Neurospora crassa OR74A: one gene and its partner. Each later gene encodes a partner of the first gene's protein in a complex. Links are inferred from orthologs where the notes say so. Each region holds a gene or a part of one and is shown in the gene's direction. Other genes may lie near its edges. The genes, in order: NCU00690 and NCU16771.

The links.
Region 2: NCU00690 (region 1) and NCU16771 share a complex: the UniProt entries of both Saccharomyces cerevisiae proteins name them as parts of the nuclear RNase P and RNase MRP complex. The link is inferred for Neurospora crassa OR74A from reciprocal best matches to the Saccharomyces cerevisiae genes POP1 and POP5.

The regions. Positions count from the first base shown.
Region 1 is NC_026501.1:7,532,974-7,550,622, reverse strand, and holds NCU00690 (ribonuclease P complex subunit Pop1), read left to right. Parts: upstream 1-7,462; 5' UTR 7,463-7,603; coding exon 7,604-10,396; 3' UTR 10,397-10,806; downstream 10,807-17,649. Other genes in the region: NCU00687 (hypothetical protein), read left to right, coding at 1-767; NCU00688 (hypothetical protein), read left to right, coding at 1,780-3,417; NCU00689 (hypothetical protein), read right to left, coding at 3,818-5,935, 5,992-6,015, 6,082-6,117; NCU00691 (hypothetical protein), read left to right, coding at 14,645-15,258, 15,360-17,130. UniProt on the Saccharomyces cerevisiae protein: Required for processing of 5.8S rRNA (short form) at site A3 and for 5' and 3' processing of pre-tRNA.
Region 2 is NC_026504.1:1,937,294-1,941,495, forward strand, and holds NCU16771 (Rpp14 family protein), read left to right. Parts: upstream 1-2,629; coding exon 2,630-2,840; exon of another isoform or gene 2,841-2,910; coding exon 2,911-3,263; 3' UTR 3,264-3,284; downstream 3,285-4,202. Other genes in the region: NCU09746 (gephyrin), read right to left, coding at 1-2,138; NCU09745 (ATP binding protein), read right to left, coding at 3,285-3,947, 4,005-4,202. UniProt on the Saccharomyces cerevisiae protein: Component of ribonuclease P, a protein complex that generates mature tRNA molecules by cleaving their 5'-ends. Also a component of RNase MRP, which cleaves pre-rRNA sequences.

The DNA.
Region 1 (17,649 bases):
ACAAGAACGGAAGTCGACGTGCTCCTATGGAAGCCTTCCCTGAAGGCTCGTTGAACAACAGTCTGGGTGGTGCTGGACCTTTGAACCCCCGGCCCGATCATGCCACATTTATGGGTCAACACGACGAAGAGGCCTATAGAGACTGGACTACCAGGGACAAGGGCCTTCCGTCCAAGAATGAGCTGCCCGTCTTTGACCCCACTTCCCGCGGCAGTGCCATGCACGGCGACGAGTCCCTGGGACTTGGCACTTCGACTTTCTTGGAGGGCACACCGGCTGCGCGTACCGCGATCCAGCAACGCCAGGACGAGCTTGCTCAGGAGTTGACTACCAACGGTCTGGCGCGCAAGAAGTCCCTTGCCCACCGGATACGCAACATCAACAAGAGCACCTCCCGCGAGCGAGAGTTCCAGTCTCTAGGCCGACTCAACAGCGCAGATTACGGGTACACAAGATCCCCCCCCGGCGAGGGTGGTAGAACTTCTAACAGCATGAATACACCCAACTCTGAACGCAACCCCTTCTTTTCAGAATACAGCCAGGGCAAGGGAGGAGAGGAGGGCTTTAGTGTGCGGAAGACCGACAACAACAGCCCTAGAGGCAACATGGAGCGCCGGGCTACTACGGATGCGGCCATGACCCTCGAGGAAGGACAGCAAAAGCCTACTGGCATTTTGGGCCGCATGAAGAGCTTGAAGGGCGGACGGAGGACCCGTCCGGCCCCTCCCGGCCCTGACGCTGGTCCTGTGCCCTCGCAATTTGCGTAGAAACGAGGATTTGTGGGGTGAACGGCGAAATGGTGACACGATCTCGCATCAAGACCTGAAGCGGAAATTTGCTGAGTTGTTTTACGCCAATATTTGACGTGAGGAATCGCGAAGCACGACATATGGCTCTATACATGGTCGCTGGGATCGTTCGAGCAGGACCTCCGTTCTGGGCAAGGGTTGTTTCTCGGTAGTCACATTGGAGGAATCGATCGCGGCATGCAGGAACACTCCTGTACAAAAAAATTGCTAATGTTTTGCTTTTGGTGCGCAAATAATGGGAGGAGAGTAACAGGCGTGCTCGTTGGGACCGCCCCTCCTATGGTGCTCTTATTATCTTTCTTTTCTCTCTGTCTGTTTAGTTTTTTTGTTAAAACGTCAATGGGAGTCGACGATTCCTTCTATCGGACGGTTGTTTTTCGCGGTCGTTTTTATTTCTTGCATTGTTTCCTCCTGCAGCTGCTTTCAACGAGAATCAACGCACAGTACCATACCAAGTTCACCTCGCACATGATTAAGGGCATTATTACCTTTGGAATTCTACGGTTTACTGTCCTTGAACTAACATGGAATAGTGTTTGTTGTATGTATGTATTATTTGAAAATTTGAGAAAACGAATGATGGACTGTGGTACATCTAGAGATTTGCAATCATTGACTGATGGAGATACCTTGTCCATGTGTCGTGTTAACTCGTTGCTACAGTGTCGAACGGAAGTTTTTCTAATCCGAGATTCTTGAAGCAACGCAATTTGCATGTTGTCTCCAACTCACCCATTCTTTGCACGACAAATTTTGGCTTTTACCAAACAACTAAGTCCAGTCGCAAAACAAACCACGTCGAACCTGCTCTATAATACCTAATGACAACAACCCCTCAGCCCAAGTTTGATTTTTCCTTTTACGACGGAACAAACCCCTACTTACCCACACAATCACCGAAACATCACCCTTCATCGAGCCACGCCATTGCCACACTGCACAGAAACTATACTCGAGTGGTAGTCCAGTCATGACCACCATCCCCAAACCCACCAGCATCCGCAAAAACAGCAACCGCAACGCATCCCACCCATCGCACCTTCCTCCAACACCTCCAACCCTACATCCCCTCCCCGCCTCCCTGCTCCTCTCCCAAGATCCCAGACTCTCACGGCTGCTGACCCACGATCGCAATGACTTCTTCTCCACCGGCTGTCGCGAGCTCGACTCCCATGTTCTCCTCAACGCAGGACTTGGAGGAGGAGGATTCGAGGGGGGTTGCGTGGTCGGTCTAAGCTGTGAAGAAGAGGAGACGATTGGGTTGGCGATTGGATTGCAGGTTGTTGCGAGGATGCTGTTGATGTCGTCGTCGTCGTCGTCATCGTCGTCGTCGTCGGGGTCAAAAGCAAAGGCCATGATCATCACGACACTTTCCACGACTTCTTTGCTCCCTCGGTTGAGATTGGCATTGGTTAGTGAGGCTAGGGTGCTTCAAGGGAATGGCAACGCACACCACCAGGTGGATAGAGGGGTAATCATGCGTTGTTTGGAGAGGGTGTTGGTGGCGAGGGTTTTTGATGCAGAGGGGTTGAGGGAGGTTTTGAGGGAGTTGGAGGAGGTTGAGCAGCAGCAGCAGACTGTTGTTAGCCATAGTGACGGGAATGAGGGGAGACGAGGCGGAGGAGAAACAGGAGAGAAAGGAACGGAGAGAAAAGAAGACGGTCTACTACCACACCTAATCATAATAACCAACACCTCCCACCTCCTCAACACTCTCTTCACCCGCAACAAGACCGGCAGCGACAGGTCCGCAGCGCATAACTCGGCGGTTCAGCTTTCTGATCAAATTCGTGGACTTAGTCGGAGAGGGCCGTTGGTGATGATGCTAAACTCGACTACCTCACCAACAACAACAACCTCTTCATCCTCCTTCAATACCAACTCGATATCGATGTTCGACGACAACAACAACAACAAAGGACCAAAACAACCCGACCTCAGTATCATGCGCTCAATCTTCAACCCACCACCACCAACACCTCTGGCACCTATAGAGGCAGCAGCACCGGGGTACATGGGCGGCTTAGTCGGCGGACACACTGCTGGTGCGCCTTCTGCTGCAAGTTACAGAGGCCCCGGGGGATATGGAGGACGTGGAGGGGGATACGGCAGGAACCATCATGATAACACCCATCTTCATCCTCACCAAACACAAACCCAGTCAGCAGCAAGAAGAAACATGAAGCCCTCGTACGGAATGGTCTTCACCCAGATGCTCGATTTACATTTATTGTGCACCAAAGTGCCTACCAGGGGCAGGACTCGTCGCGGCGGTGGTGCTTACGGAGGAGGAGGAGGAGGCTACGGAGGTTATGGTGGTGGGTATGTATGGGCAGTGGAGGTATTGCTGGATGAGCTTGGGGTTTATGAGGGCTCGGATGTGGTTTTGGACAAAGTTAGTAGTAGAGAAGGAGGAGAAGAAGAAGAAAAAGAACAAGAAAAAGAAGGGCAGGGGGAGCAACAGGAGGCGGGACGGCGAAATGAAGAGGGGCAAGAGGGGAAGAGGAAGGGGAAGGGAAAGGGGCTGACTAGAAGGAGTAGGGAGCAGAGATGGGGAGCTGTGGAGATTGAGGAGGGGAGTGGAAGGGTTGTTGATGCTTTTAAATAGGGGAGTTCGGGGAGGGGGAAGTAATGGAGGGGAGTGTGGGAGGAAGTGGTTGTTGGGGAGGTTATTGTTACTCGCATTCTGATGGACCATGCAGGAGATTTGACATCATCGAAAGGAGTTGCCTTTTTGATACCTGGCGTTTAGATGTACATGCCAGACCCCTAAAAGATTTCTCGCTGATATTTTACTGGCGTTTGCTTTGCCTAACCAACGGCGTTCAATTTGAAGCCCAAGAACCATATATTATAACAACTCCACGCTACAAAGGAAAGTAAGAAGTGAAGCTACAAAACAAAACAACACAAAAGGAACAAAATCTATCGATCCCACGAACTGATCACACTCAAGTCCACAACCCTCCACCATCTCTCTTCCGACCAAAAAAAAAGGGCCTTGTCCCCTATGCCGGTATAGTCCAAGCAACCAAATCCTCCCTTACCTCAAACTCATCCACCTGTCTCGCTTTCTTATACCCACCATAGCCATACGCTCCTCTGCCACTCCCACTTCCCACCCCACTACCAAGCGACAAAGTCGCCAGACTAGCGCCACTATCACTCCGATCGCGTCCCCTAAAACTATCCATTCTTCCAATATGACTTTCATAGCTTGGGTGTTTGTCTCCATCCGTGATCACAATCCCCCCCAAAGAAGCAGCGTCTTGGAATTGATAGGGGGAGTTCAAATGGGGAGCGAGAGTGGGGCCGACGGGAGCAGCGGGGGAAAGCATCTTGCCCAGGTCGCGGAAGGCGGGGGAGAGGCCGTTGTTGAGGGAGGTATTGATTTTATTGACGGTAGAAGCGGAGGTCGCGGGGCGGTTGTTGTAACCATTGCCGTTAAGGAAATTTGGATTGTTGTTGTGGTTGTTGAGGCTGTTGAGCAGGTTTCTGAGGTTATTGGCTTCGTCTGCCGCTCCCCGGGGGTCCCGGGTGAAACCGTAGTTGTTGATGTTATACCAGTTATCTTTGTCGGCGGCGCCTCCTTCTTGGTCGTTTTGTTGTTGCTGCTCCGTCATCATGGTTCGAATGCTCTTATCACTTGTTCCGCTGTGGTGGCGGATGTGCCGCCTTATGCGAGCCATGCTTCCTGGGGTTTGGGTTCGTGAGGGGGCAGCGGTTTGTGGGCGGAGGGTATCTTTGTTGTAATTACTGTTGCCGTTGCTGCCGCTGTCTTCGTCTCCAGAAGCCGAGCCGCTGGTGGGTTCATCGCGGTGCCGGGGGTGGCGGGATCGAGCGGAACTGGCGCTCGGGGTGCGGAAGGTGTTGGATCTATTTGGTCCGGGAGTTGTTGGCGCCACCGGAGTGCCACCCAGTCCTAGGGAAATGGCGGCCGCGAGCTTGTCTCGCTGGTCTCGGTAGTACTGGCCCGAGGTGGAGCGGAAGTGGTGGCCATGTCCTCCTCCGAAACTGTGCTTCTTCCGGTGTCCCGCCCGTAATTCACCGTCTCGGTCCCCGAAGCTGTGAGCGTTATTGCTGTGCCCGCCGCGACCGCGCGTGATGGGCGTAGGGGTGTTCGCTGCTGAAGACATGTCCGTTCGGAACCCGTCGCCTCCAGAGAAAATATCCTCGATGCACTGGTCAGCTGTCAGCTCGCCCGGCTGGGATTCCCAGCTGGCAGCTAGTACCCGACGGTAGCAGTCCTGCAATTCAAACACGTCCCGCGACTTGTGGCTGAGACTGGGTAACTGGCCCAGTGCCAGGTCGGCCGCGGCTTGATGGTGGTTGCGGGCGAAGTTGTGGGCGTCGGCGTTGGGGTCCAGCACGTCGCCCGCCACGAGGCCGGCGATGCCACCGAAAACGGGAGCCGTCTTGAGCGGCGGGGCGATGAAGTTGCGCTCGCCTTCGACTTGGATCATGAGGATGCTGATCTTGAGTGTTGAGTTGATCTTGCTGTCCTGCATCAGGTAGCGGCGCACCACGCCGTCTTGGACGTCCTCTGCCGGGGTCGCCGTGGTTGTTGTGGCGAACGTCTTGGTGGTCATGGCTGTCATGGGACGTTCCTGCTCCTTTTCCTCTGCATCAGGCCGTAGATACTGGGGACTGTTAGCGTCCGCTGGTGCCGGTGTTACCGCGCTTAGTGAGCTGCGATTACGGATGTGCCCGAACCGGAAATCGACCGCTGCCGGGCCACCCGGAGATCCGAGAAACGGAATGAAGCCGGCTCCAACACCATCCCGGAGGATGGTTTCACTCTCCTCGACATACTCGGCTAGATTGAGGCGGACGACACCTAGAGTGGTTTTCTCTTCCCGGGCCGGAGCTGGGCCATTGCCGTTTACTGTGCCATTGGTGTTGAAGAGCTGCAGAACCTCAAACTCGATCGGGCATTCCGTGAGGTTGTTGTTACGATCGACAGCGATGCGGATAGGGATGACCTTTGAGTAGCTGTACTCAACTCGGTGGTTGGCAATAGGGCATCTCTGCGTCTTGCCACGGTGCTCCGAGTGAATGCTATGTGGGAAGTGCCATTTGATCAGGGACCCTCCAGAGACCAGTGGCACATTGTTCAAATCATAGATCTGGGGCTGGAGTTAGACGACGACCTAAAGCGAGCTTCAAATTGAGGACGACATGCCTTGAGGTGTAGTTCAAACTTGGGCTAGAGCAAAGGTATTAGTACTGTGTGTCCCTGTAGGTAACCAGAAGGAAATGGGTCAATACGAACCTTTTTACCCTTGCCGACTAGAGGAATGTGAAGCATAATATCAGCTTAACGGGTCACGACCAATGGATAGTTTGAAGGCAGATTCAGCGTGTTCAAGGCAAGGTTCATTCCATAATGCTGGAAGTGCCGGTAGACAAGATGCAGCAGCGTCATGCACAGCAGGACGGACGTTCATAGTCAGGTAGGGTTTGGGGTGAAGGAGTGATGATAAGCTGGAGAGATTGATGGAGGGGAGTGGCCGCATTGAGACGAGCGGGAAACTGCGAACGAAGGTGGGTGGGTGGGATGGAATGAAGCGGAAGCCGGATGTGATGAAAGGAACAAGAGGGAGGAAGGCTAGTCATGCTTACTGAGGGCTGCCATGTCTACATGCGACGGATTCAGCAGGTATTTCCGTCGTCCGTCTCCAAAGTACGGTACGCGGTCTCAGGACTGTAACTGTACCGGACCGTTCGATCCAGGTTCCCGTGGTTGACGCCGACACAAAGGGGCGCCGAGGTCCCCTGCCGCAACGTGAGCGTTCCCTTTTCGGACCCAGTCGTCGATATCGAGACTCCAACAACGCAACAGCGACAACGGGACTCGGAAACAAACCCTCAGGTCAGTGAGAAAAGTGAAAAGCTTGGAGTTGTGCCGTTGAGGCGTGTCAGGGATGGCTTGGCATGTATCGCGGACGAACACAGTTGTAACGTAAGGTATTCCGTATTACCCCCCTATCGACCAAAACACGACAACAAGACAGCAAAGACCTAAGATGTGTGTGTGTGTGTGTGTGTGGGTGAATGAGAACTTTGGACTGCCGGTTAGTAATGCTTCCACGACAGATTCTGGAAAAAGTCCTTTCTTTAGCCCAACAATTTGCCTGGGCATATTTGTTTTGCGCGGCACCACGGATATGATGGATGGATGTCCAGGCAGGAGCCCCTTAAATTAAATGAACTAATGTCAAACGGGCATGGCGATGAGGATAATGGTTTCCATTCGCTTTGCGGCCTCACTCCGTCATCCACGACTCTGGAGAACTAAGTCTACACACTCACCACAAACTCTTCCTACAGAAGTCCCATCAGGATAGCGGTGATGTCGAGGTTGGAACAATGCCCGTTCGAGACCGGGAGACTGGGGAATGCCGAGCTTCCAGTCTGTGCTCCGGCTGAGTGTGATGCTGGGGGGGCGAGATTCGGTGTTACGCCACTGAAGGGACCGCCAAGAGCGCTGTCCAGGATGCCGTGGAATCGTCAAGGAACGGGACCTGAGTTTGGACGTTCTTCCAAGTGGGGACACCTTCCCCGCTAGGGCCCGCTAGCCGATTGACTGATAAGCCCGATAAGAGCTTCAGAAATTCCTCATTCGTTCCTTGTCAGTCGGCGCCAGTGATGCAGTCACTGAGACTGAGCAAGACCTGCCCGACTCCAATTCCTCCAAGTAGGTAAATCACCAACCACCACCCCAATCGGGCACCTCCATGCGCCGCATACAAACAACGCCAATGTCCAAGGAACCATAGGTGCCTCTAGTCGCCATGGATAATCACAACAAACAATCCGCCTCAGGCAAGGCGGCGGCCGATTCCAAGAAGCGCAAGGAAGCCCCATTGAATCAGAACCAACAAGGCAAAGAATCGCGTCCTCCAGCCCGGCCACAAAAACGCGTCAAGTTCCAAGATGCACGCAACATCCGCAGCCAGCCTTCGGACGCCGCCCTTGACGATGGAAAGCTCGATCTCCAAAAGTTCCTTAGTGCCCGTGAATTCGAGATCAAGGCCCTCGAGACGAGCATGCGAAAATGCAAGAGCGCCAACGCCACCCGGGTGTTCCAGCAGGTACCGCGCGAGATGAGACGGCGGACGGCGAGTCACAACGCCAAGAGGGTTCCCAAGAGGCTGCGCGACAGAGCCAAAAGAGAGATGATGGAGGACAACACACCGACCGTCGAAGCGAGGAAACGACGGCCACGTACAACACGCGCCAGGATACGTGCCGAAAACGCAAAGCGACTCGAGAAACTGGCCGCAAGGAAGAGGAAAAGGGCGTTGCAAAATGAAGCCGGGGGAGAGAACAGGGACGAGCCCGGAAAGACGACGATCCAGACGAGAGCCCCGAGACCCAAGATACGACGTGATACCCTGAACGAGCCCCCGAAGCCAAAGTCCAAATTCAAAAAGAGACAGATCAACAAGACCTGGCTCCCTACCCATCTATGGCATGCCAAACGAGCGACAATGACCGAGTCAACCAAGCCTCTGTGGCGGTTCGCGATCCCTTTGACACCGACGCAAAAATGCTATCGACCGACCCACCGAGCTTCTGGACAAAAGGGAACTGTTTTCTGGGATACAAGTTACATGAGCACGGTCAGGCTCTACGGAGCAGCGGGAGGCATTGAGCAGGTTCTCAAGGCACTAGGGCTGGTTCAGGAGAGTCTATGGGGCAACCGTGGCAGGAAATGGAGAAGTGGTACGAGGACATGGAGCGGTATGGTGAGCAGACAGCAAAGGAATTCAAGAAGGGACATCGGGCCTGCTACGATTCTATGGAACCCCACTCCGACCGTCGAGACTGCCGCGCCCGAGTCAAACACTACCGAGCTGAAGAAGACTCAACGACAAATCTTAATCAGGACACACCCCTCATGCTTTCTTGAACTCTTTGACGAGCTGGTTAAGCTCGCAAAGCTACATACGCCCCAAGTTCACGTCGAGGACTTGCGTTTCGAAATCGGTAGCATCGAGCTTACTGGACCCGGTTCCACAGAGACATTGCTTGCCGTGCTTCAACCATATTATACCGAGGAGCGCCATGGGCAGGTTTTCTCCTCTCTAGTTGGGGTAACAAATCCCGCTTCTCTTCCTAAAGACGCAGTACTGGGCTTCTCAATCAAAGACCCGCGATTGTCGTATCCTCCCAAGCGGGTCGACACCGCCAGCAAGGTGAGCGATTCTGCTCTGCTCGATACTTTGACTCAATGGCCTGTTGAGGAACAGGTGAAGCCATATGGGCTCTTCGACCGTGATGTTCGCTTCAAAGCTTCCAGTCTACCACCACAAAAGTCCATCAATCGCCGAAAGGGCGCCAGTACCCCAGGGCAAGAGATGCAAGTCACAGCAGCGGACCCTCCTATACCAGTCATCGCGTTCACCTCCAGACCGGCAGCTGGTGGTCAGGCACAGGGTACATGGACACTGTTGGCGCCATGGAAATGTATTCTGCCGATATGGTACAGCATTGTCCATTATCCCTTATCCACTGGAGGCAATCCTCGGCTAGGGGGGTTGAATGAGCAGCGGCAGATTGCTTTTGAACAAGGGACTCCCTGGTTTCCTGGGGATTTTCTTGGGACGAATGCGGGTGTGGTATGGGAGATGGAACAGCGCGCGCAGCGCAAGAAGGCCTGGGACCGGCGGCCGAGGGGCAAGCGCATTGAATGGGCCTCGCTGGATCTCGGCGCTGGACGAAAGGGCGAGATTGGAGATGGCTTAGCGTGCGATTTTGAGCATCTTCTCGGTTTGCCCACGGATCATTTGCCGAACTCCTGCGAGGATCAATCAACGTCGGATGTCGATCCAAATGCAATGGACCTTCATCCTGGGGAAGAGGCTGAAGCCGCAGCCAAGTTGGGGAAGGTCCACAAAAATACAGTGCCGTCTTTGACGACGGTTGAGCAGATGAAGAAGACAGAGTTTCAGGCCCTTATCTCCTCGGTGAATTCGGGCAGACCTCCCCCACGGTCGATCATATCAGTCAACATCACATTTGTAACCAGAGGCGTTGCAAACGCGTGCGCCAGAATATATCGTCTTCCATCTCAGCCTTCAGCAACGACGGCTGTCCCGTCGTCGGAGACGGAGGTACCCGCTACTGATCCGGTCGCGGCCGGCATGGGATCTCTACCTGCGGATCTCCGCGATCAATGGCTTCAGAAAATCCCCGGCAACAAAAGCGGCAGCAGGTCTACCAAAGTCACCACAGCACACGCAGCACCACATATGTCTCGCGACGTTGGTCAGGGTACTCGAAAACAATTAATGGCCAAGTCTCTCCTGTCAGGGGATCCATTACCCTACCCCAGGCCTACAGCTAATCAGACAGACATTGGCGGTGGCCATCCGCTGTGCCCCGGCGAGGAGGACCTGATCGGGTTCGTGACGGCCGGGGCGTACAGCCTTAGCGAGGGCAAGGGTACGGCGGTTGGGGCAATCTCTGCCGAGAAGGCGTTTGATACGGTCAAAGAGTCGGGCCCCAAAGAAGGAAGGCTCTGTATTGTGAGGAATGCCGGGGAGAATGTAGGCTGGCTGGCTAGGTGGGAGCTGGTGTGAAAACATCGTGAGATGTTGAGATGAGATGATACTACATGATAAGAGATGTGGCATTGATGAAGATACCTGTTAATGGACGCGGCTGTCGATATCGATAGTGGGCGGGCTGCAAGCCGTGAAAAAAACTCACCGAAATGAGGTCTCAAAGAAGAAAAGTGAAGGTGATGAAGATTTGTTGAAGAATGGGAATACTCTGTAGTTTGCTTAAACCCTGTCTCGGCTATTCAGATACCGAAGCTTCAGGGAATTGGGCTAAATTAACCGGTCGACGGCGAGCTTCTTTCACAGTAGTATTTACATATGTCTAACCAGCGTCCATGTCATTGAAAGCTTCCAATGCCACAAGCCTGATGACCGACGCTACGCCGCTCAGAATTGCATAGCTTTACTCTCCCGCCTCTGATAAGAACCGTCTGGGCTCCGAGCCTTAACATAGCGAACTCTCTCAGCATAACAATCATCGCGGGAAGAAAAAAATTTATCGAACCACAAAAGACAGGCAAAGTCAAGTTCTGGCCAGTCTCCCACAATCATGACACATGTACGATGAACCGTGACATCGCCTAGACAATCACGTAGTTCCCCTCCGAAAGTCGTAACTCGTTAGTCTCAGTGTGTATGCTCGGCACATCCCCATTGTCTAAGATTACCGAATGGTAAACCTATCGGGATCTTACTTAGTGTATGTAATCAGCAAAACCCGGGCTGGCCACGATGCAAAGTCTGTGTGTGTGTGTGTACATAAGCCGAAGAGATGTACAAGGCAATTTCAAAAAAGTCTGTTAGTCCAAGTTTCCTTTTTCGTTAGGCCTTGTCCACGGGGGTGCAGAAAGCGGGAAGATCGTCGTCGGTGGAACCAAGATTTCCAGACAGTGGACATGGACAAGGACATCACCAAGGCCCCCATCCATTCCGCTGCTGCAGCCTTTCGGCTTTTACACTACATACTGTAGGAGATGCCCGGGCGTCTCTGGGGGAAACCTACCAAGAGCCTACCTAACTAGGTATGCACTACACCCCGCCCCGGTGCTGTTGGCCGGCTGGCGAGAGTTTTAGTGCCCAAGTATCCCCATCGATGACAGTCTCACCTTATTTAACCAACTCGCCCATGGAAAAAAAAAAAAAAAAAAAAAAAAAAAAAAGAGAAAAAAAAAACATATTGTCGATAGCAGCCTGGGGCAAGCTTCCCAACCAACCGGGAAGGGGATGGGTTCCATACTCGCTTCGGTTGATGAGAGACAAAAGAGTTGTTGAAGACAGCCCAGTCAAAAAAGCAAAGTCAAAAGCCGGGAAAAAAAAAAAAAAAAAAAAAAAAAAAGGACAGAGGTCGGAAAGACGGATATGCAGCTGCTCGTTTTGGCTGGACAATTTGGGGTGGGTGGATGATCTTCAGCAACAACAACAATATATGTAAGAAAGCTGAATGCATTACCTATCAATCAAAGTACACTAAACCGAAAGTTGGCTGGCTGTCTGTCTGTCTGCCTTTCAGCTGTTGCTTACTACACTAATGTAGTGCTTGTTGTTGGTCTACTGCACTAACCAAAGCGGAAAAGCTTTCAAAAAAAGGAAATTTGGAATTCTTGTCCTCCGTCAGTCTTGGTTGTGTTACCAATCTGTTAGTAAAAGGGAAAAGGGAGGGGTCGGTCATAATCAGTTATTTCTGTTGGCGGTCGTTGTTGTTGTTAGTGATTTCTACGATTACGAACTGGCTGGCTGGCTGGCTGGCTGGCTGCCACAGCTCGTACAGTATGCAGTTCTGGGGTTGAACAAGCTTTTACTTTACGCACGTACTACAAGTAAGTGAGCAAGGGAAAAGAGGAACAATACCGACGGTGAGGGAGGTCGGCGAGGATATCGCGAAGGTGAAAAATGCAGAAAAGGACTCGCTGAGACTTTTGTCCTCTCTACACACACTACTTTAGCATAGAAGAAGCCCACTTGGTGTGACCATGTATGTAATACCTACCTATCCTATGATTCTATCACAAGACTCTCACCAAAGTGGGATGAGCCGCTACTTGAGTCGCGTTCGAAAGTCGAAACCGCCATCGTCTGTCGTGCGAGCGCGCGCGCTGTCGTGTGATGAGGACCGGTGGGGCTGATGGCCCTTGAGGGTGGACATGTGAGATGACGGGCGTCAACGATGGGGCGACGGACGAAATTCGGTGCGAGCGGACGATGAAGGGTCTAATGTTGGGTCAAAATCGATCTCAATTACTTACACTAGGTAGGTTAGGTAGTGGGCCTGCACTATCGTGACTGTCCTTCCCCGGCCGTGACGGCGACAACGACCTCCGCTGTATGAAAGCGTACTTGGGAAGCTAAGATGGCAAGATTGAAGGTCGGGAGAAGTACGGGAATAAGATACACAGCGCTGTGGTACCTGGCGCTACGGAGAATGGGGAAAAGGCAAGACTTGGTAAGACATTGACAGCGGTCCTGGTCGTATGTTGACAATGATGACGATACTTCAAATGGCCGAACTTGCCAAGAAAGCCAAGAAAGCCTCGACAACCTCCTCCACCTTGCAGATTTGCATGAAGGATTTGAGATTCCAACATGTTATCGGTTCCTTCACCTCTGGTTTGGAAAGTCGGTCTTCAAAGCGCCTTTTTTCTCCCACTTGGCTAGCTCAGTGGCTCTCCTTCCAAGGAGCTGAGGGCAGAAGATCAAGTTTTTCGGAATCAGCAAGCTTTTGACGGGGCATTTCTTCCATCATCAAAGACCAATCGAAGTTAGTGTTCGGTCCCGAATCTGTTCCCCTTTGGTTGCTTGTGTGGCGGGAAACTCGTGTCGTTGGGCTGAGGCTCTTTTGGCGCTGGCGAGTGAGGTTGGCTGTCTTTTTACTACATGGATGTAGTGTACCATAGTTGTCATACGAACACAGACAGAAAAGCGGACTTCAATTCCTCGACCTCGACCTTGTACATAGTGTACAATTCCCATCTTGGCCTCCCCTGATGCCAGTCAGCGAGGCGTTCAAGTTGTTGGATTTGTTACTTCCACTTGCCTGATTCGTACCTACCGACCTACCAACCCCAGGGCCCCCACCCAGTTGCCCGAGGCAGTCACTGGCTCCCACCCCTCGGGGGCCCGGGGATTCACGCAGCCCAGGCGCATCACATAGGTACCTAGGTAGGTACACCCTTGCCCGTTTCTTGGCCAGCCAGCGCCAGTAAGTCTAGTGTATAAACGCACCAACTGTGCGGCGTCCACTGTCCCCCCAACATCAACAACAGCATTGAGGACCCCGTCACCAAGTGTACCAACATCCCTTCTCTTGATGGGCATGATACCTAGGTAGACATTCCATGTGTTTCTTTTCATCCAGCTATGGATCCAAACAGCTGGCGATAGAGACAACCTGCTCTTAGCTATTGGCACAAGCAGTGATGGTCTAGTGACCTTGATGCGTGCAGAATGCAAGTCGGGCCTTGATATGTAATGTACAATATAATCATGCACTGCTAAGGTGATGTATATTTGGGCGCCAAACTGCAACCCTCGTCTGGTCTACTGCACATCACTTGCTTTAGCTGGCGATCTTTCTGCCGCTTTTCGTGTGATCCCTCCATCTCAAATCTCTTGCTCTCCGTTGCCGCCGACCAAACACTCCATCTCTCTCCCTCCTCCATCTCCCTCCCCCTTGAACCCCTCCACCACAGCTCCCAACTTTATCCGAGCTTACTCCTCCCGTCATCTTACTCTTTTCCTCGTCCCTTGCCTTCCCTTGCCAACACGCTACACTATACTAGATCTCACCATTCCTCAGGGCTCCGGGCATTTTTCGGTAACCACTCTCAGCCCTGGTTATTGAGAACGCCGTACATTAGTGAACACCTCACATATTGGTAGCCGAGTGATAGCGCTGTTGATTTGGCCTAATCAGTCAGCTCACGTAACGACGGCGGCCCCAAAGCCCTGGACATCCAGCCAGCCCTTGGGATCGACATGCAACTGACACTACAACCACCTAAACCTCTCCGGATGCATGAACCCCACCCTTGCCCATAGTTTTGCGTCATGGGAATTCCTCTTCTGATAGATTGGACCGCATCTTTAATACATATTTCATCCAATTCCCAAAACTCCCGCTTCACATAGCTACCACTCCGGTCTTCTTTCTCTGCCGCCGCCATATGCCTTTCGACTGTCTCGGTAACCATTCGCTGTTTACCCCAGATATCTGCTGTGTCAACAGGGGCAGAAGTAGATGGAGAATTATCAAGTGATTCGTGAAGGAATATGGCTGAATCCACCTCAGTATCGTTGTCGTCGGCCCATCTGGTCGGCACCGTCGCCAACCCACCCAAACTAGACGAGTCCGAATACCTCCGTGAGGTTTTCGGGATAACGACGGAAGATGCCACCGCCACTGAGGCCGAGATCGAGGAGAGCTTGACGGCAAAGGCTTCGAGTCTGGGAATCGATGTCTCGAACCTTACTGACAGCCTGGGAAATCCCACTGCCTTGAACGCCACATCAGCGAGAAGCAGCACTCTCGTTGCCCACCAGCGCTCCAACACAATATGCTCGAACGACAGTACCACCGGCACCGAAACGGCCACAGGCACCGATAATGATATGGCTTCGAACTCGTCGGCAGCAATGCCGGCAACTCTCACACAATCCACGAGCAGGAAGAGGTCCAACACTGTCAACTTTTCCCAGTATGAGAAGTACTTGACGCAGCTGAAACCCGCGCTCCACCAACCAAAGTTTTCCAACCCAGCAGCGCCCACAAGGCGGCCGTCGCACAACATCTTTGGCTTTGGGCATTTCAAGGGCGTCAGGGAGCTCCGGCGCGGCCTCACAGGCAGGTTGAAGAGGAGGAAAACGTATCCGGCGTTACCAATCGTGTAAGTGACTTTGCTGGATCATTAGCCCCACCCACCCAGATACTCTGGGCATCATGAGCCATGTTGGAACGACACATCTAACGAGTTCTACCGTTTCCTAGGATCTGCATATGCTGCCGCGAGGAATTTGCCCAAGAGAACCACCTCCTCCAGACGCTACCATGCGGCCACACCTACTGCCAGAACTGTCTGGCCGTCATGATCAACCAATCCACCACCGACGAGTCCAAGATGCCTCCCCGCTGCTGCACCCAGCCCATTCCCAGCTCCATCATCAAGACGATCCTCACCCGCGAGGAGCAGCAGGCCTTCCTCAAGGCCGTCCTCCAATACAGCACGCCCTGGGAATCCCGCATCTTCTGCCCAAACCCGGCCTGCGGCGAGTTTATCCCGCCTAGAGCCAAGCTCGACCCCAAGCACCCCTTCGAGACCATGTGCAAGACGTGCAAGATGCGCGTCTGCCTCATTTGCAAGCGCAGCGCCCATCGGCTCGGGCAGGATTGCCCCGAGGACATCGAGCTGGAGACGGTGCTAAAGATGGGTGAGAAATCCGGGTGGCGTAGATGCTACAAGTGCCGCAACCTGGTTGAGCTCACGCAGGGGTGCACGCACATGACATGCCGGTGCAAGGCGCAGTTCTGCTACATTTGCGGTGCCGTATGGGATCCTGTTGTTGGGTGTCCCAACTTTTGCAACGGCGAGGAGGAGCTCGAGCGGCGCAGGAGGGAGGAAGAGACGCGCCTCGCGGAGCTGGAAGTGAAGAAGCGGGAGCAAGAAGAGGCGGCTGCGGCGGAGGGACGGGCGCAACAAGCAGCGGAACGGAGGACGCGAGACAGTGTAGAGTTTCAGGCGCTAAGGGAACGGCAAAACCATGAAATGTCCAGGGTTTTGGCATACGAGGCTAGGATGCGCAAAGACATGCGCACAAAGCAGTCGGAGAAGAAGAAGGCGCTGCTGGAGAAGTACGCGGAGCTCACAGAGAAAATGAAGGAGCGCCATGCGAAAACAGAGCAGCACCTCGAGGACCGGCAGATCGAAGCCGAGATGGAACTCCGCTCGTCGCTGGACGCTTCGGAACGGAGCATCAAGATACAGCTCAAGCACATGGAAGCCTACTGTAAGACGCTTTCGCAAGTTGAGGAAGTAAGCGAGAAGGACCAAGCCCTGCAGGACTCGAAGATGCCTTCTAGGGAGGTCACCCAAAAACACCTCGACCAGCTCAGCGAGCAATACCGCATCCGCGACGGCATGGAGAGACGGCACCAAGCCCAGATCAACGTGCTTCGCGAGAAGCAAGGCAAAAAGATGGAGCAGTTACTCGACCGCCACGAAGACGAGATGGAAGCCCTTCTCCACAAGAAATCCGAAGAACTCGAGGACCTCGCCGTCGAGTTCGCCAATGAGGCAGATGCCGTCTCCCGCACATTTGCCCAGAGGAAGGTCAAGCTGCAGAAGAGATGGCTGGTCAGCGTGGAGATTTTGAGGGTAGAGCAGGAGAAGAAAACTGGAATGCGGTACGCTTCCATGGCTGTGCCGCAGTGGCCTGCTGCGACTACGACTGAGAGCGACACGGAAACTGAGAGCGAAGAAGAGGAGACGACAGCTGCCGCTCATCTGCAAGAGCAAGAAGTCATTGAGCTCGCACGACCCAAGGCTGAAGCCGAAATGAAGGAGGATGGGTGGCCTCTCAGCAACAACGACAACATCAAGACCACCGAGATCGAATTACCCTCAACACCCAAGACGGTGACGCCGGCTGTGACCCCGACACAAGCTCGGTTCGAAGCTGAGCTTCGCAGGTACAGGTCGCGGACTCGGCTGGTGGCTCCGGGGGAACAATCACCACCGGTATCACCACGTACTATGCGGTGATGCTTAAACGGACAATCTCCTCCCCATCTTTTTTCACCTCATCATTATATTTAACACATACGTACCAAATACGATACCCCTACGATTCAACAAGCTCACATACAATTCTGACGATTACCCTTATCAATACAATACTACCACCGCCAACCAACCATCCATCCATCAAGCGGCAGACTGTCAGAAAATCATTCAGCATCACTCTTCAACTCTCTCATATGTCCCATTTATCATCATTATCATCATCATCATCATCTCTCAGCAGCATTCAGCATTCTGCATAACATTACACGGAGCGCAAGACGTCCACATCATACATAGTACCCATCATCTCCTTTACCAGTAGTGAACCATCTGTCCCATGACCATTTATTTACATTACTTTTTCCTTGCTACGAAGCTGATGATTTTCTATACCCCCCCTTTTTTTCTTCATAAATTTTTGTCTTGTATGGCCACATCGAGAGCATTCTCCGACCCATCATCTCTTTCCTTGTCATCAGTTGGGAGGAGGATCTACAA
Region 2 (4,202 bases), on another chromosome or scaffold:
ACCTTGGCACCCTTGCGCAACGGCTCTGGTCCGCAAGGCATGCAGAGAAGCGCGTTGGCCCCCTTCATACTTCCTACCCGCGAGCTTCTCTGTCCTCCTGTGCTGACCGCGGTGAGCACTCCGTCCCTGCTAACGGAGACAATGGCCCGGTGGTACTCGGGTCTAGATCTATCGAGGGAGAAATCATGGCCCAGTGTCACAGGCACCTTTGGCAAGCCAGGTGGTGAGACGCCCGACATTTGGTGCAGAGACGGCAGTACAAACAAGTGAAACGTAACCAAAGCCGATGCCGGGTTACCTGGTAGCGAGAAGATTACCTTGGAAACTCTCTCTCCGTCGTTATCCTTTACCGGAACGGTAGCAAACGTGGTAGGCTTGCCGGGCTTCATTGCCACCCGACCAAAGCGAATTGTTCCGCCCAGCGAACGCTCTATCGTCGGCTTGAGGAGATCCAGCTCACCCATGGACACTCCGCCGGTCGTGATCACCACGTCAACCTGCCTCAATGCCTGCCGCAGCGTCTCCTCCAAAGTCCCGGCCTTGTCCCGCGCCACTCCAAGATCAATCACCTCATACCCCCAATCTCTCGCCGCCGAAATGAGAGTTGGCCGGTTCGTATCGCGCACCTCGCCCAGCCGCAAGTCTCCCGGGCGATCATGGTCCACAATCTCATCACCCGTAGATAGAACGCCAACAACAGGACGTCGGTACACCTGCACCTCACCCACACCCACGGCGGCCAACAGACCAATCTCACCCCCCACAGCAGACACCTGATCTCCCTTGCCTAGAATCAGTTGCCCCTGCTTGATATCACTTCCCACCTCCCTAACATTTTCGCCTTCGCGAACTTTATCAGCTGCTAAAATCTCCACCTCCTTCTCCTCCTCCACTCCCTTTCCATCCTCCGCATCCTCCGTCTTGGATGACGTCGTCGACACCAACACCGTATCCTCCACCATAATAACCGATGTCGCACCCGGAGGCAGGGGTGCACCCGTGGTGATCCGGGCAATCTCGCCCTCTTTGAGCGTCGGCATTTTTTCCCCATCTCCAGGAGCGGCATGCGAAACCGACACGACGGGGAACACGCCGCGCATGTTCCCGTCTTGGGGCACGACTACGGCGTAGCCGTCGACGATGCTAGCGCGAAAAGCGGGCACATTTTCGCGCGCCGAAACGTCCTGCGCCAGAACGGCGCCGATGAGCGAGCTATCGACTTTGGAGGTGACGATTTGCGGCATCGGCGTGTGTTGCGCTATTTGGGAGAGCGCTTCGGAGACAGAGAGCATCGGGTAAGGAGACTCGCGGTGGCGGCGGCTGGGACCTAAGCTGGGATCGTTGGACTTGGGGTTTTCAGAGGGGATGGTGTGTCGGACTAGACCGGCGTGGCCGTGGCCTGGGCCGTGACCGTGGTTATGGCCATGCCCATGGGCGCCACAGCCTCCCCCTCCTCCTCCTCGGTGCTCGCCATGGTCGTGATGCTTGTGTCCATGTCCGTGTCCATGTCCGTGACCATGTCCACGTCCACCACCTCCTTCTACTCCCGCCTCCTGCTCCAATTTCTTCACTCCCCCCTTATGTAAAGCTCTAGAGTTAGCACCAGCAGCCTGCATGCAAGCGTGGGGCAGCATTTTGATCACTGCTTGCAGATTCTCCTTCGCGCCCTTGGGGGACCCAGGCAGCGCAACGATAACGGTGCCGTTCCTGACGCCAGCCACAGGTCGTGACATCATGGCAAAGGGGGTCACTTGCAGCGAAGCCGCCAGCATGCCGTGGACCAGGCCAGGAGCATTCTTGTGTAGGAGAGCCGAGACGGCTTCGGTGGTTTGGTCGGACACGGCGAAGCCGGTGCCGCCTGTGGTTACGATGAGGTTGATGGTGTTGGTGTTGTTGTTGTTGTTGTTGTCGCCACTTGCGGCGGTGGCTTGGTTTGTCCAGTGGATGATTTGCTTCTGGATTTGCACGACATCGTCGGGAACGATTTTGGATTCATGGACCTCCCATTGGGCTTGTTGTTCATCGAAGACCTGGCGGAGAGTGACGTCGGCCGAGTCCGTTGCGGGGTCTTGAGCTGCTGTCGTTGAAACGATAAGGATGGCTGCTTTGAGCGCTGCTGGAGTAGTACTTGAGGACATGATTGAGAAATGTGACACACAATACTGCGCTGGAGAAACGGTGTAACAGAATCTCCTCGTTTGTGCCAACTATTGATGAACTCTGTAGGAAAGGGAGTATTGTGATGGTGTCATGGTGTTGATGTGCCATGCCGGTACTCGGAAGCTGATAAGATAGGCACCCCTGTAAGCCGTACCTCAAGGTACCTGGTGTAGTTCTCCACCAAAACTTCGTGTGGGGAAGTGGAGCGTGTGAGGATCGAGAGTTTGCATGCTTTTGCCGGCGGCAATTATTTGTAACTTGATGTCTGAAAGTTGAATTTCAATTGCATTGATTTCACTCTCATTCACTCCATTGTACGTCAGTGATAGCGCACCCTCAGCTTTTTAATCCACGATTGCACCGGATCAAGTTCTCTTATATCTATCTGTACGGGTGTTCTCAGCAGACTGTTTGTGGTTTTTTTTCTTCTCTGTTTAGAAACGACGTCTTCGGGAAAACTCCTACAACCATGGTCCGCCTTAAAGATCGCTATCTGTTGGTCAACATTGTCTACGCAGACATTCCTCCTGGACAAAAGGGCACTGTACCCGATCTGCTACTTTATAACCAGCCCACCCTTGGAGAACTCAGGCCCCAAACCATCTTGAAGGGCATTCGCAGTCAGGTGAATGCGTTATTTGGTGATTGCGGGTCAGGCTCTGTCGAGCGCAGCCTACAAGGTAAACACACCACTGAACTCTAAAACTTACATTTGGTAAAAGCGGCCACTAGGCTAACTTGGTATAACAGTCAAGTACCTTTCTACTGCGACCTCAACCTTCATTCTACGTATCTCACGAGCCCATTACAGGCTTGTGTGGGCTGCCCTGACCTTTATGGACCGCCTCCCAGTCAAGGACGGCCGACCGTGTATCTTCCGCGTTGTCCGCGTCAGCGGCACCATCCGCAAAGTCGAAGAAGAAGCCATCCGCCGTGCCAAGCTCCTTGTCCTTGCAGCAAAGGACGAGATGGCCGGCAAGGCATCATCAGATGCCCTCAATGCTCTCTTCCGCGGCGGCAAAGATTCAGCCCGCAATCTCGCCTTGGTCACCGATGACCACGATGACGCAGAAATGGGCGAGGGCGAGGTCTCTGATGGATGAAACAACCATGCCATTCGATCGTCATGTGTTCTGCTTACGCGTCACACGGATTCCCGAGCCACTGGTGAACTGTGGCGCCACTCCAGGGACCGAGCCGTCACCGAGACCTGCTTCTTCAGCGGCCCGTGCCTGCTCCGCCCGCAGTTTTTCTTGTTCTTCCTCCTCCTTCCGCTCCATCTCGTCATACTCTTCTTTGCTATCGATCCACCTCTCTTGAATATCAAGAGCATCGGGCAATGATGACTCGTTGCGCATGGCAACCTGCCAGACGGTGTCGTTCGTTCCCTCAGCGCCGCCAAAGACGTACCCACTTGCACGGTCAATCACGCGCAACAGATGCATCATACTCTTCTTGTTCTCGACTGCCAGCACCTCGAAGCTGACAAGGCCGAACTGCTCAACCATGTTCGCAACGGCCTCGTTAAGCTTGGTGAACTTGCCTTTCTTCAGGGCAGGCGATTCCGCGTCGAGGGACGGCATGAGGTACCGTAGGTCTTGTACTTCGGTGTAATAGTCGAGGTTGAATGGAAGAGGATCGTAGGACGAGATCTTGTCAATCTTGGTCAGGACGTTGATGTGGGGAAGGTCCATTTGCAACATGGCGCGCAAAGAGAGGAGGACGTTGGAAATGTAGAGCGATGGTTGTGTGAGGCAGAAGCAGTCGGAAAGGTGGACAACTACCAGCTGCAAGAGAATTAGCGGGAAGGACTGCGATTAGAGAGACGAGGAACAACGGCGCACCCTGTAGCCCAGCTTCTGTAACCGGTAAAAGATGTTGCGTAACGAGTTGTGGTGGGTGTAGAGCTCGACTTGACCAGGGCAGTCAAAAAGCACATAGTCTTCTCCAAGCTCCTTGAGGCCGTTCTCGAGCCATTCCATGTTATTTTCCAGCTCTTCAAGTGCGTACAGAATACCGCCATTGGGACCCAATTTGTCGTC